2 linked regions of the Caenorhabditis elegans genome follow. The protein of the gene in region 1 purifies or fractionates together with the protein of each later gene. This does not show direct contact. Each region holds a gene or a part of one and is shown on either strand. Other genes may lie near its edges.

Evidence for each region.
Region 2: the proteins of tdp-1 (region 1) and ddx-17 fractionate together in Caenorhabditis elegans (co-fractionation; one large-scale study listed by BioGRID). This does not show direct contact.

Annotation. Positions count from the first base shown.
Region 1 is NC_003280.10:8,995,783-9,000,306, forward strand, and holds tdp-1 (Tar DNA-binding protein homolog 1), read left to right. Parts: upstream 1-2,042; 5' UTR 2,043-2,051; coding exon 2,052-2,147; intron 2,148-2,201; coding exon 2,202-2,395; intron 2,396-2,445; coding exon 2,446-2,525; intron 2,526-2,628; exon of another isoform or gene 2,629-2,638; coding exon 2,639-2,877; intron 2,878-2,966; coding exon 2,967-3,107; intron 3,108-3,150; coding exon 3,151-3,368; intron 3,369-3,472; coding exon 3,473-3,749; 3' UTR 3,750-3,940; downstream 3,941-4,524. Other genes in the region: Brix domain-containing protein F44G4.1, read left to right, coding at 1-45, 91-220, 270-311; ndub-2 (putative NADH dehydrogenase [ubiquinone] 1 beta subcomplex subunit 2, mitochondrial), read left to right, coding at 591-682, 727-1,117; F44G4.3 (uncharacterized protein), read right to left, coding at 1,286-1,354, 1,404-1,503, 1,554-1,649, 1,696-1,760; F44G4.5 (uncharacterized protein), read right to left, coding at 3,999-4,460, 4,514-4,524. UniProt on the Caenorhabditis elegans protein: RNA-binding protein which regulates transcription, splicing and RNA-editing. Limits the accumulation of double-stranded RNA by maintaining the abundance of the mature RNA transcripts that are formed from double-stranded precursor RNAs.
Region 2 is NC_003283.11:14,007,987-14,013,625, forward strand, and holds ddx-17 (RNA helicase), read right to left. Parts: upstream 3,956-5,639; 5' UTR 3,831-3,955; coding exon 3,814-3,830; intron 3,764-3,813; coding exon 2,866-3,763; intron 2,820-2,865; coding exon 2,474-2,819; intron 2,429-2,473; coding exon 2,369-2,428; intron 2,216-2,368; exon of another isoform or gene 1,910-2,215; intron 1,623-1,909; coding exon 1,525-1,622; intron 1,480-1,524; coding exon 1,265-1,479; intron 1,166-1,264; coding exon 1,114-1,165; 3' UTR 785-1,113; downstream 1-784. Other genes in the region: aip-1 (AN1-type domain-containing protein), read left to right, coding at 4,593-4,650, 4,702-4,796, 4,844-4,918, 4,976-5,196, 5,244-5,301, 5,353-5,454.

The sequences.
Region 1 (4,524 bases):
AACATTCCACAATCAGAGAGATTACATCTTTTTCAGACATCATAGGTAGGTGAATCATGTTTATTTCAATCGAATATCTAAAAATTTCAGATACGAATTCAAAAAGGAAGGTTCAAAAGCAGCGCTTCTGGAGTTGGGTCCTCGATTCACATTAAGACTTAAGTGGCTACAGAAGGGTACTTTCGACGCAAAGTGGGGAGAATTCGAATGGGTCCTCAAGGTATGGATTTATTTAAAATTAATTGAATGAAAATTATTAAAAATTTCAGAGACACGAAATGGAAACCAGTCGTCGTCGTTTCTTCCTCTGATTACTATTATTCGTTTTTCAAAGGTTGCAAAAAAATTCGAAGCCCCAATTTTATCCTTACTAAGGTTTTTGAAGTTTTGAACAAATATCTCAATCTCTCCCATGCAACCCTATCATCTTTGTTACTGCTTTTATTTTGTTGTTTTGTTGATGTTATTGAATAATATAATTTGATGCAATTTTTTTAAACTGTTACCTCTAAGGTTTCTGACCGATAATTATCTATTCTGATGATATTTTATTATTATATATATTCGCAGAATTTATTCAGGTTCTGACCATGTTGGGGAACAAATTCGTTGCTCAGTTGGCTCTGCAGCACCTCCGCAATCGAGGACTCGTCAATTCCCCATCTCGTCTGACTTTTGTTCGGTAAATTTTCTTTCCGAATAGTATAGATTTATTTTTTATTCTAGAAATCGATTTGCTTGGGGATCTGATGCTGTTGGTCCAAATGTTCCAGTTGGAGGAAAGATGGGAGCTTCGGAGAATCCAGAATTGCACACCTATGATGGAGACTACCGCGGTACCATCTCGAAGGGGGATAAGCCAATTCCAGATTACTTCTACCGTACTCCAACAACTGGTCGAACCTACATCGATCGTTGTGTAACCTATTTCATCTCAGCTGTCATTTGGGCGTGGTTCTCGTACCACATGTACTATCATTCTGGCCATCTCTTGGGACATTGGTACATGCCATACTTGAGCGAGTTCACGGATGAAGAGCTCGGAATTCCAAAGGATTCTGCCGAAGATCCAGAATACTGGGGCAACCACAAGAAAGAATATGGAACTTATCGATAAATAGTTGACAGAATGTTTTTAGTTCATTCATAGTCTCATTCTTCTTGAAACGACTTGACTTTTATTTTTAACCGTTTCCTGTATGCCTGATTGTAATTCAATAAAGTGGCTTCGAATACGAACATTTTAAAAATATAATTATTTATTTCTAATCTATAACCAAATAACCTAAACTATTCCAAGGTCCGGCACATTGTCTCGTGGACGATAAACTCGCTCTTCTTGGTAGGAAAGAACCTGAAAAAAGACGAATGAAAAACTATTTCGAGCGGAAATTTAGTCTTACAACTTGTTTTTTCGCTTGAAGAGTAGGATCTAGCCTTCCTTCTTGTTCTTGTATCTTCCACATAAACCGATTTACTGGATGTTTGTCGCCTTTCCACCACCTGAAATAAGTATTTCAGTTAAAAATGAATCAATTACAATGTTTTATTACCGGACTCCAACATTGTACATTACTATGTAGAGAAGCGTTGAAGCTACAATTGCAGGACCAGTTCTTTTCATAGGATATGACAGAATTTTGTGGAATCTGAAAGTTAATAATTTTAATTTTAACGCTGGTGAACAACACTTACTTTATTTTCCAATTGGCTTTCCCTGTCGGTTTTGAACTCATCACCACATTTTTGTCACCTTCCATGTTTGAATAATAGTCAATTGTCAAGTTTCAGAGAATAAAATGATCATTAATGGGCAAAAGAAGGTTTTTTTTGTAATTCAGAGACGCCTAGTTTCTGAGAGGTACGGTGTGAAAATGTGTGCATATGTGCGTCATGGTGTTTGCACACCATTTGTGTAATTAATTTACAAGATTTTTGCTCGGAGATTTTTGGCTCAATTTATTGGTTTTATTGATTAAAAATAGATACAAATAATTCATTATTTTAGTAAATTTGTTATTATTTCAAATATATCTGTTTCCAGTCACTAAATGGCCGACGAAACGCCGAAGGTTAAAACAGAACCTGCGGCCGAGGTTAAATCACCCTTGGATGAAGTTAAGGAAATTCGAAAAGAGGCAGAACTGGTAAGTTAATAATAATTCGTACAGTTGCTAATATCCCATGTTCATGTTTTCCAGACACAAACTGGGAGTGACGAAAAGAAAACCACGGACCCGGAATTCATCACAGTACAAGATCCAAATGGAGATGAGCCAATAGAACTTCCTACCGTTGATGGTGTTGTCTTGATGACTACATTGCAAGCATCGTTTCCGGGTGCTACTGGTTTGAAGTACAAAAATCCAAAAACTGGAGCCAACCGAGCTGTTCAGTGAGTGCTTGGTGGAGGTATACTGACTTAAAATTTATTTTATTTTCCAGAGTCGATCCCAGTGGTTTGAAATTAATTGCTCCAGCTGACGGCTGGGAAAATAAAACGTTCTTCGTTATTGTTGCCCCGCGTAAGTTGTTTTTGTTTTATATTAACTAGTTTCACCAAAATTCAAGCTTTTGAGTAGAGACGGTTTATGTGACAGTCTGAGTGAAGACGTTCGAGTGACGTAGTGTGATTCAGAGAGCGAGAGAGTCAGAGCGTTGTCATCAGCTGACGCGACGAGTGCGAAGAGACGTAAAGTGGGATCGAGTGACGACTCGGATTCGGATGACGGTCGTGACGGACGTTCGGGCAGGAAGAGAGCGGTTGAGAGAGACAGCCAGCCAGTTGACCTCATCGTGCTCGGTGTGGACTTCAAAACGACTGACGAGTGCTTTCAGAAATACTTCGAAGATATAGGAACTGTTGTGTTCTGTGAGGTTCGTGAGATGAGTGAAGGAATCTGAAAGTGAGAGAATTAAGTTCACATAGGTTCCATTAAAAATACATATTCAATATTCTTCTTCAGATAAAACGAAAGTCGGATGGAAACTCAAAAGGATTTGGATTTGTCAGAATGTCATCAGTCGGTGAACAAAATAAAGTATTAGCTATCCCACAGCACATGATTGATGGTCGTCGTTGTGATGTGAAAGTTCCAGATGGAAGGGTATGTTATTATACTGATCAATTAAAACTAATAAGTTGAGCAGAGTTTGCAGGACAAACAAGGTCGTCCATCAATCAGTCGAATTTTTGTCGGAAGGCTCACAGACAAAGTAGACGAACATCAACTGCGAAAAGTGTTTGGAGATGAAGCAAAAAGCTATATAGAGACTGCAGTAGTTACCGATGTGTTCATCCCAAAACCATTCAGAGGCTTTGCATTCGTTACGCTGTCGAGCGCCGAAGCCGCGGAAAGAATTGTCAGGTATTGCTAATTTTTTGGAAAACCTGTTAAAAATAACTGTCTCCGGTGTAGCATCACTTTTAAGCACTCATATTTTTCATTCTAGTAAGAAATATAATTTTCAGCAAAGGATCGCTAACTGTCAACGGTTTATCAGTTGGATTGAGCATCGCACAGCCTCGAGAAGAGAATAATCAATCAGTTGGCCCTGATTATGGCCTTCCAGCTGGCTACCGTAACCGCAGAGAACGTGATCGACCGGATAGACGACCGATTCAAAATGAAGCACCTCTGCCCATGCCATTCGTCCGCCCACCACAAGATTACTCATACCGTCAGCAAAATTCTCCCCTCGAGAGGAGATACTGGGCACCTGGAGACTCGAGAGGACCAGGATGGTGATTCTCTCGAAAAATCGTTATTATTCATATTTTTCTACACTTTTCTCAATTTTCTTGTCTGACAATTTGTCATTAGTATTGTTCTCTCACATTTACTAGACCCCTACAATTTTCATGTCGACGCACTTTGCGATTTTATGCTGTATTTTTAATAATGCAATTCTACAATCTCTGAATAAAAAACCTGAAATTAAATCGACTAAAAAACTAGTTCATTCTCAAGAATTGGTAAGACAAGAGGCACAAAAAGTTAGTAAGTTTCCGAGTATTCATTGCACAACATCTCAGAAACGTACTCCGAATTCACAAAGTATGGCGTCGTGTTCACAGAATTCTGGGCAACCTCGGAACTCGTGTTCACATATTTCGGCAGAAATGAAGCTTCAACTTTTTTAACGGCAATATGTTGAGGAACATCGAAAACGAAAATCTCGGACAAAGCATCAAGTTGGTACTGTGATGGGACACGAGCCAAACGAACAGTATTCTCTGCTGGCTTATAATTCAAATCAGCCAATTCATAATAACTTTGTGGACCATCACAATTGACACGTGTAGTTTCTGGATAAGCAATGGTGGATTGTTCAGTGATCCATTGACTTTGAACACTTTCAGTTTCTCTCAAACAATCCTCCCAACCATTATCCGATTCGGCACCCGTGATGACGTCATCAAAGCTCGACTTTTCATTCTTCTCAATTTCCAGAAGCATCTAAATTAAAATAATTCTGTAATTGAAAAGGATAAAAATATAAATCAACTTACCAAATTTCGTT
Region 2 (5,639 bases), on another chromosome or scaffold:
ATTTTCACAAGAAACTATGTTTTGCTATCTCAACCCAGTTTTGAGTTATACCAAAATTTGGGGGTGGCCGTATCATTATGTGGAGCACTGTAGATACTAGAAAAAATTTATAACATTTTTCTAATTTCTAATGATTTTTTTTTCAATTTTTTTAAATGGAAAAGTGGCCACCAGAAATACGATTTTATGGAAAAGTGGCTCTAGGGCCATTATATTTTTAAAATTACAGAAATATTTTGAAATAAATTCTCTAAATACTTTTAGCTTTATATTAATGAAAAACTTAGTTTATAAACATATAATATACAAGCTCTACTGCAAAAAGAGTTGTTTGCTCACCATGTTCGAGAACAAAAAGCTTCCACTTCCGGTACACATCTGTCAATTGCCATTGGGTCTCGAAACGATCATGTCAGTTTTTTGTTCAAGTTTGCAAGGAAAAAAATGCGATTGGCCTAAAAACTGACGCAATCGTCTCTACAAAAGATCAATTGTCTGTGGCGCCCCGCCAACGAGAAAACTGTACTTCAATGCCGCCCATCTATCTCTCACTTTTCACATATCGATTGCAATAGAATAGACTGAATTAATAGAAAAGAAGGTCTCGAGAAGAAGAATTTCAATGCCTACAAGAACTGACGAACACAGAACCTGAAGAGCCTGTGTCGTTTTAAGGATACAAAAATGAAAAACAAGAAATCCGCGTGCCAACAATAGGAAAAGACAAAGAGCAAACAGGAAAAGTGGGGGACAACAGCCAAAACACAAAAATATATTTCAATTTTTTCCATCAACATCAATATTTATTTTCTTCAAAAGATCTTATATTAAAGAAACAATCTTTGAAACAAAACTGTTTCCATTGCAGCCGAGTTACACAAAACGCAATGATAAAACTAGATGGATATTATTAAAAGTTTGGAGGGAGATGACAGTTACTGATTAAAACAAAAATAAAATATGGGCACAACGCTCAAAAAAACAAAGAGTAAGAAAGTAAAAAGTAAAAAAGAATAAAAATGAGGAGAAGTTCAGAGTTCCATTAAAACCGAACGAACGAGATCTGAATTATCGTTTAAATGTCGGAAGTGAGTGAGAAGATATGTAGATCGTCTACCATCGGCCACCTCCACCGCTGCCTCCACCGTATCCTCCGTTGTCATATCTGAAAATTACAGGATTTAATTTTATTCGAAATTAGGTGCGATTTCAAAAATCCGTTATCATATTCCACTTTTTTATTTCTAATCACAAAAACACGTACCGTGGCCTCTTTGGAGCAAAGTTATCGTTTCCTCCGTATCCTCTCTTCTGGAAACCACCACCTCCATAGCGACCCCTTGAGTTGCTACCTCCGTAACTGCGGTTTGCCATATCACGAAGAGCTTGTGGAACAGTCTGCTTAGCCTCATCGAGAACCTTCAACAGATCCTTTGCCTTGGAAGCGTTTGTATGAGTGAAGAAAGTGTAGGCGGTTCCCTGAAAAACAAATCATGAAATATTGAATTTTCTCTACTAATTTACCTTTTTGTCACTACGACCAGTACGACCGATTCTGTGAACATAGTCTTCAGAGTTGTTTGGATAATCATAGTTGATCACGAATTTGATATCATCGACATCTAAAATTGTTAAATTAAAATTACTGTAAAACAAATTAGAGCAAAAAGCGTGAACGACGCTTTCTCTCAACCAGGTGAACCAAGAAGAATAAACACGAGTGAACCGAAACAGTGAATTGCCATTTAAACTCCTCTCTCCGGATAAGCCGGGAAATAAATCCATTCCAATAATTTTTTAATTATTAACAGGTTCCAGATGCGTATAAAACCTAGTTCACCAGGTTGAGAGCAATCACCACAGGGAGACCGCCGATACAACTCTGACTAAGCTATACGTACTTACGCACCTGAACCCAGAATTCTAAAGATGGGAATGGGGAAGAGGAGAAAAATTCGACGGAGTCACTGATGAGTCATCGGAACAGCCTGCACAAGCCACAACAGCACTCAATGTATATGACTGCAATACTGGCGGCTTGCGAAACTGAACCGCTTTCTTCGACTCGATGTGTAGATTTCATTCACAGAGCACCAGAAGGTACTCTCTGCCACTACACATCTGCAACGTATGATATGATAACGTCACAAGACGCTGCCAAAATCAACTGCATTGCATTTCGATCAATCCTCTCGGCCAAATCAAGTTGGTGTAACTGTAAAGGGTCAAATAAATCACAAATATGGCTGAATACCATGCTATTGTAACGATTGTCAAGAAAACTGGAAGCCAGAAACTCCTGAAACCGACTTTTCTAATATGTGACATCTAAAATTTGACCCTTTCTAGGTTGGCGCGACAAACTAACCCAATCCACGCGCGGCAACATCGGTGGCCAACATGATTGGTGTTTTTCCTGCTTTGAATTCTGAAAAATGTATTTATAACAAAATAATTGGTAACTTTAACTAACCTTGAAGAACCCAGTCTCTTTCTCCTTGGTTTTTGTCACCGTGAATACAGAGAGTTGGCCATCCATCGCGACGCATAGCACGAGTCAATTCATCGGCTTTCCGCTTTGTCTCAACAAAAATAATGGTTTTGCATTCCTTTTGATTCATGATATGATTGAGGAGCTCCATGAGTTTGGCTTGCTTTGCATGTTCTTCGAGAATATCGACGACTTGTGTGATGTTGTGATTGGCAGCGAGCTCAAGGGATCCGACGTTGAGGAAAGCAGCGTCTTTCTGGAAATCTGAAGCCAACGCACGAACTTCCTTTGGCCATGTGGCGGAGAACATGAGTGTTTGTCTGTCTGGCTGAAAAAATATATATTAAAACACAATTACAACAGATTCAACTTACGCGAATCTGTCCGATGATTTTCTTGATTTGTGGTTCGAAACCCATATCAAGCATACGATCGGCTTCATCAAGAACCAAGTAAGAGCACTTCTTCATGTTGGTAGTTCCGTTATCAAGGAAATCGAGAAGACGTCCCGGAGTGGCAACAACGATATCAACTCCACGCTCGAGATCACGAGCTTGTGGTCCTTTGGATGCTCCTCCGAAGAGACAGGTCATCTTGAGTCCTAACGAGTGGCAGAAATCGATTGATACTTCTTGAACTTGTTGAGCCAATTCACGAGTTGGAAGCAAAACAAGAACGGCTGGTCCTTCTCCGCGTTGACGGTGAGCCTGTTTTGTGATGTGGACGAGAGCTGGGAGCATGAAGGCAAGTGTTTTTCCGGAACCAGTTTTGGCGATAGAGATAATATCACGTCCGCTCATGGCAATCGGCCAGGAGATTGACTGAATAACTGTTGGTTTCTGGAACTTTCCGTACAAAAGCTCGTGAATCTGTCCTGGCAATGGTGCCTCGTTGAATTCGAAAACCGGGCGTGGGACACCACGGCCTTCGAGAGTAACTTGATTTGCTGATACCCATTGATCAATCTCATACTGCTCACGGCGGGATACGGCTGCATTCTCGTGATAGAAATCCTTCTCAATCGGAGTAAGGTTCTCGGCAGACCAGTCGACATCGCGAAGGCGTCCTCCAGCTGAACCATTGGATCCTCCACGACCTCCTCCACGGCCACCGCCGCCATAACCACCTCCTCCGTAGCCTCCACCGCCACCTCCTCCATATCCACCACCACGACCACCGCTGTATCCTCCGCCGCCGCCACCACGGCCTCCACCTCCATATCCTCCGCGGGATCCACCACCGCTGCTTCCTCCATAGCTTCTAGAACCTCCGCTGAAAAAGAAAAACAATTATGCACGTCAATAATCGATAAGTCAACTTACTATCCTCTGTCTCCCATTGTCTTTTTTATATGAGTTTGAAATGCGAACTTCTGGTCGTGCAACGGCTGCTGCGAAAATAAATATCGACTTCGATTAGTAGACCTCTCGTTTGGCTCGTCTTCCTTTGATACAGAAGCACGCGCTGACGAATTACAAGTTTTAAATTGATTCGCAGCGCTGAGAAAACGAGTAGCAAACGAGAACGGACGGATTGAAGAGACCCAAATTTTCGACGAAATTCGGTTGTTTTACCCTATAAAACACAAGTGGGGCCAAAATAACCAAGTGAGTATTTTGCGTCACACCGTGCAAGAAGGGGGAAAAATAATGGGAAAAACAACTTTTAAATCGTTCGAAAAATCGAATTTAGAAAGAAAAAACAGAAAAAGATGAAAGGTTTTGGGACAAATGCGAGAGACGAAAATCAAAAAAAGCGGGAGAAGGAGGTGCAAAGCGGTTTCGCTGTGAGACCCACCGCACGTTTAATGTCATGCGCCTTTAATCCAGCTGTACGCAGTGACGTCACGAAATACTGAAAGCGTCACGTTTTCTAGCGAATCAGCTGATATTGATTTCAAAAATCTTGAAATTGAATTATTCAATTTTTTCTCGTTCTAAAAAGTCCAAAAGCTTTCAATAATATATAAAAATCAATAATTTCGTAACCCGATGTCTGGCATTTCTGGTAAATTCTAGAATTTTTCCAATTGTCATCATTTCTTGTGTTTAAAAGTCTATATTCTCTCGTTTCCTATCAATATCGTTTGCTTTATTCAGCTATGGCGGAGTTCCCAAATCTCGGAAAGCACTGTGAGAGCACAGTTTGCAACAGACTTGGTAAGTCAACATTTAAAAAAAATTAATTAAATAAAAAAATAATTATTTCAGATTTTCTTCCAATCAAATGCTCCGGTTGTGGACATTTCTACTGCTCAGAGCACTTCACATTTGAGGCTCATAATTGTCCGACTGGCTCAAGAATTGTAAGTGTTTGAAAATCTTTTTTTAGATTAAAATTATTAAATTTCAGTCCGTTCAAGTTCCTATTTGTCCTATATGTGAGAAGCCAGTTCCAACGCCGAAAGATGTCAATGTTGATCAACAAGTAATTATTTTGAAATTATTCCTGCAAAAATATTGATAAAAATTGTTTCTTTTTCAGGTCAATGAGCACATTCAGAACAATTGTCAGACTCCGAAACGTGCAAAAGTATATTCAAACGCGTGTACCGTCCCAAAATGCAAGAAGAAAGAGCTGGTAGCCATGAATTGCTCAAAATGTCGAAACAACTACTGCCTTTCTCACAGACACGAGCGGGATCACAGTTGTGAGCGAAAAGTTGGCGAAATGAAGATAAATCAGAAAAAGAGCTGGACGGATTCGTAAGTTTATTGTTTTGAATAAATCGAATTTCAAGGTATTTTTCCAGAATCACATCAATCGCGCGTTCCCGAATGAATCCATGTTCCGCACAAGCAAGAACAGAGGTTTGTATCTATTTTCAAAAAAACAACTAACTAAATCACAAATGTTTCCAGGGAGATGAAGCTCTGGCTCGTTCTCTACAACAAGAAGAATACAATCGAGTTGCACCGCCGCATCAAACAAGAAATTCCAATTCCAACTGCACCGTCTCATAGCATCCAATTTAGTGTATATTTATTTCCCTTCTCATATTTTCTGTACAATTTGCATTTCTCTTCAACCTTGTTCTAGTTCATATCCGTGTCAAAACTTTTATTCATTTCACTTCGCCAACTTCAGTCCTACTAAAATATTGATTCTTTGTACAATGTTGAATACTTTTTCTTTTTTCTTGATATAT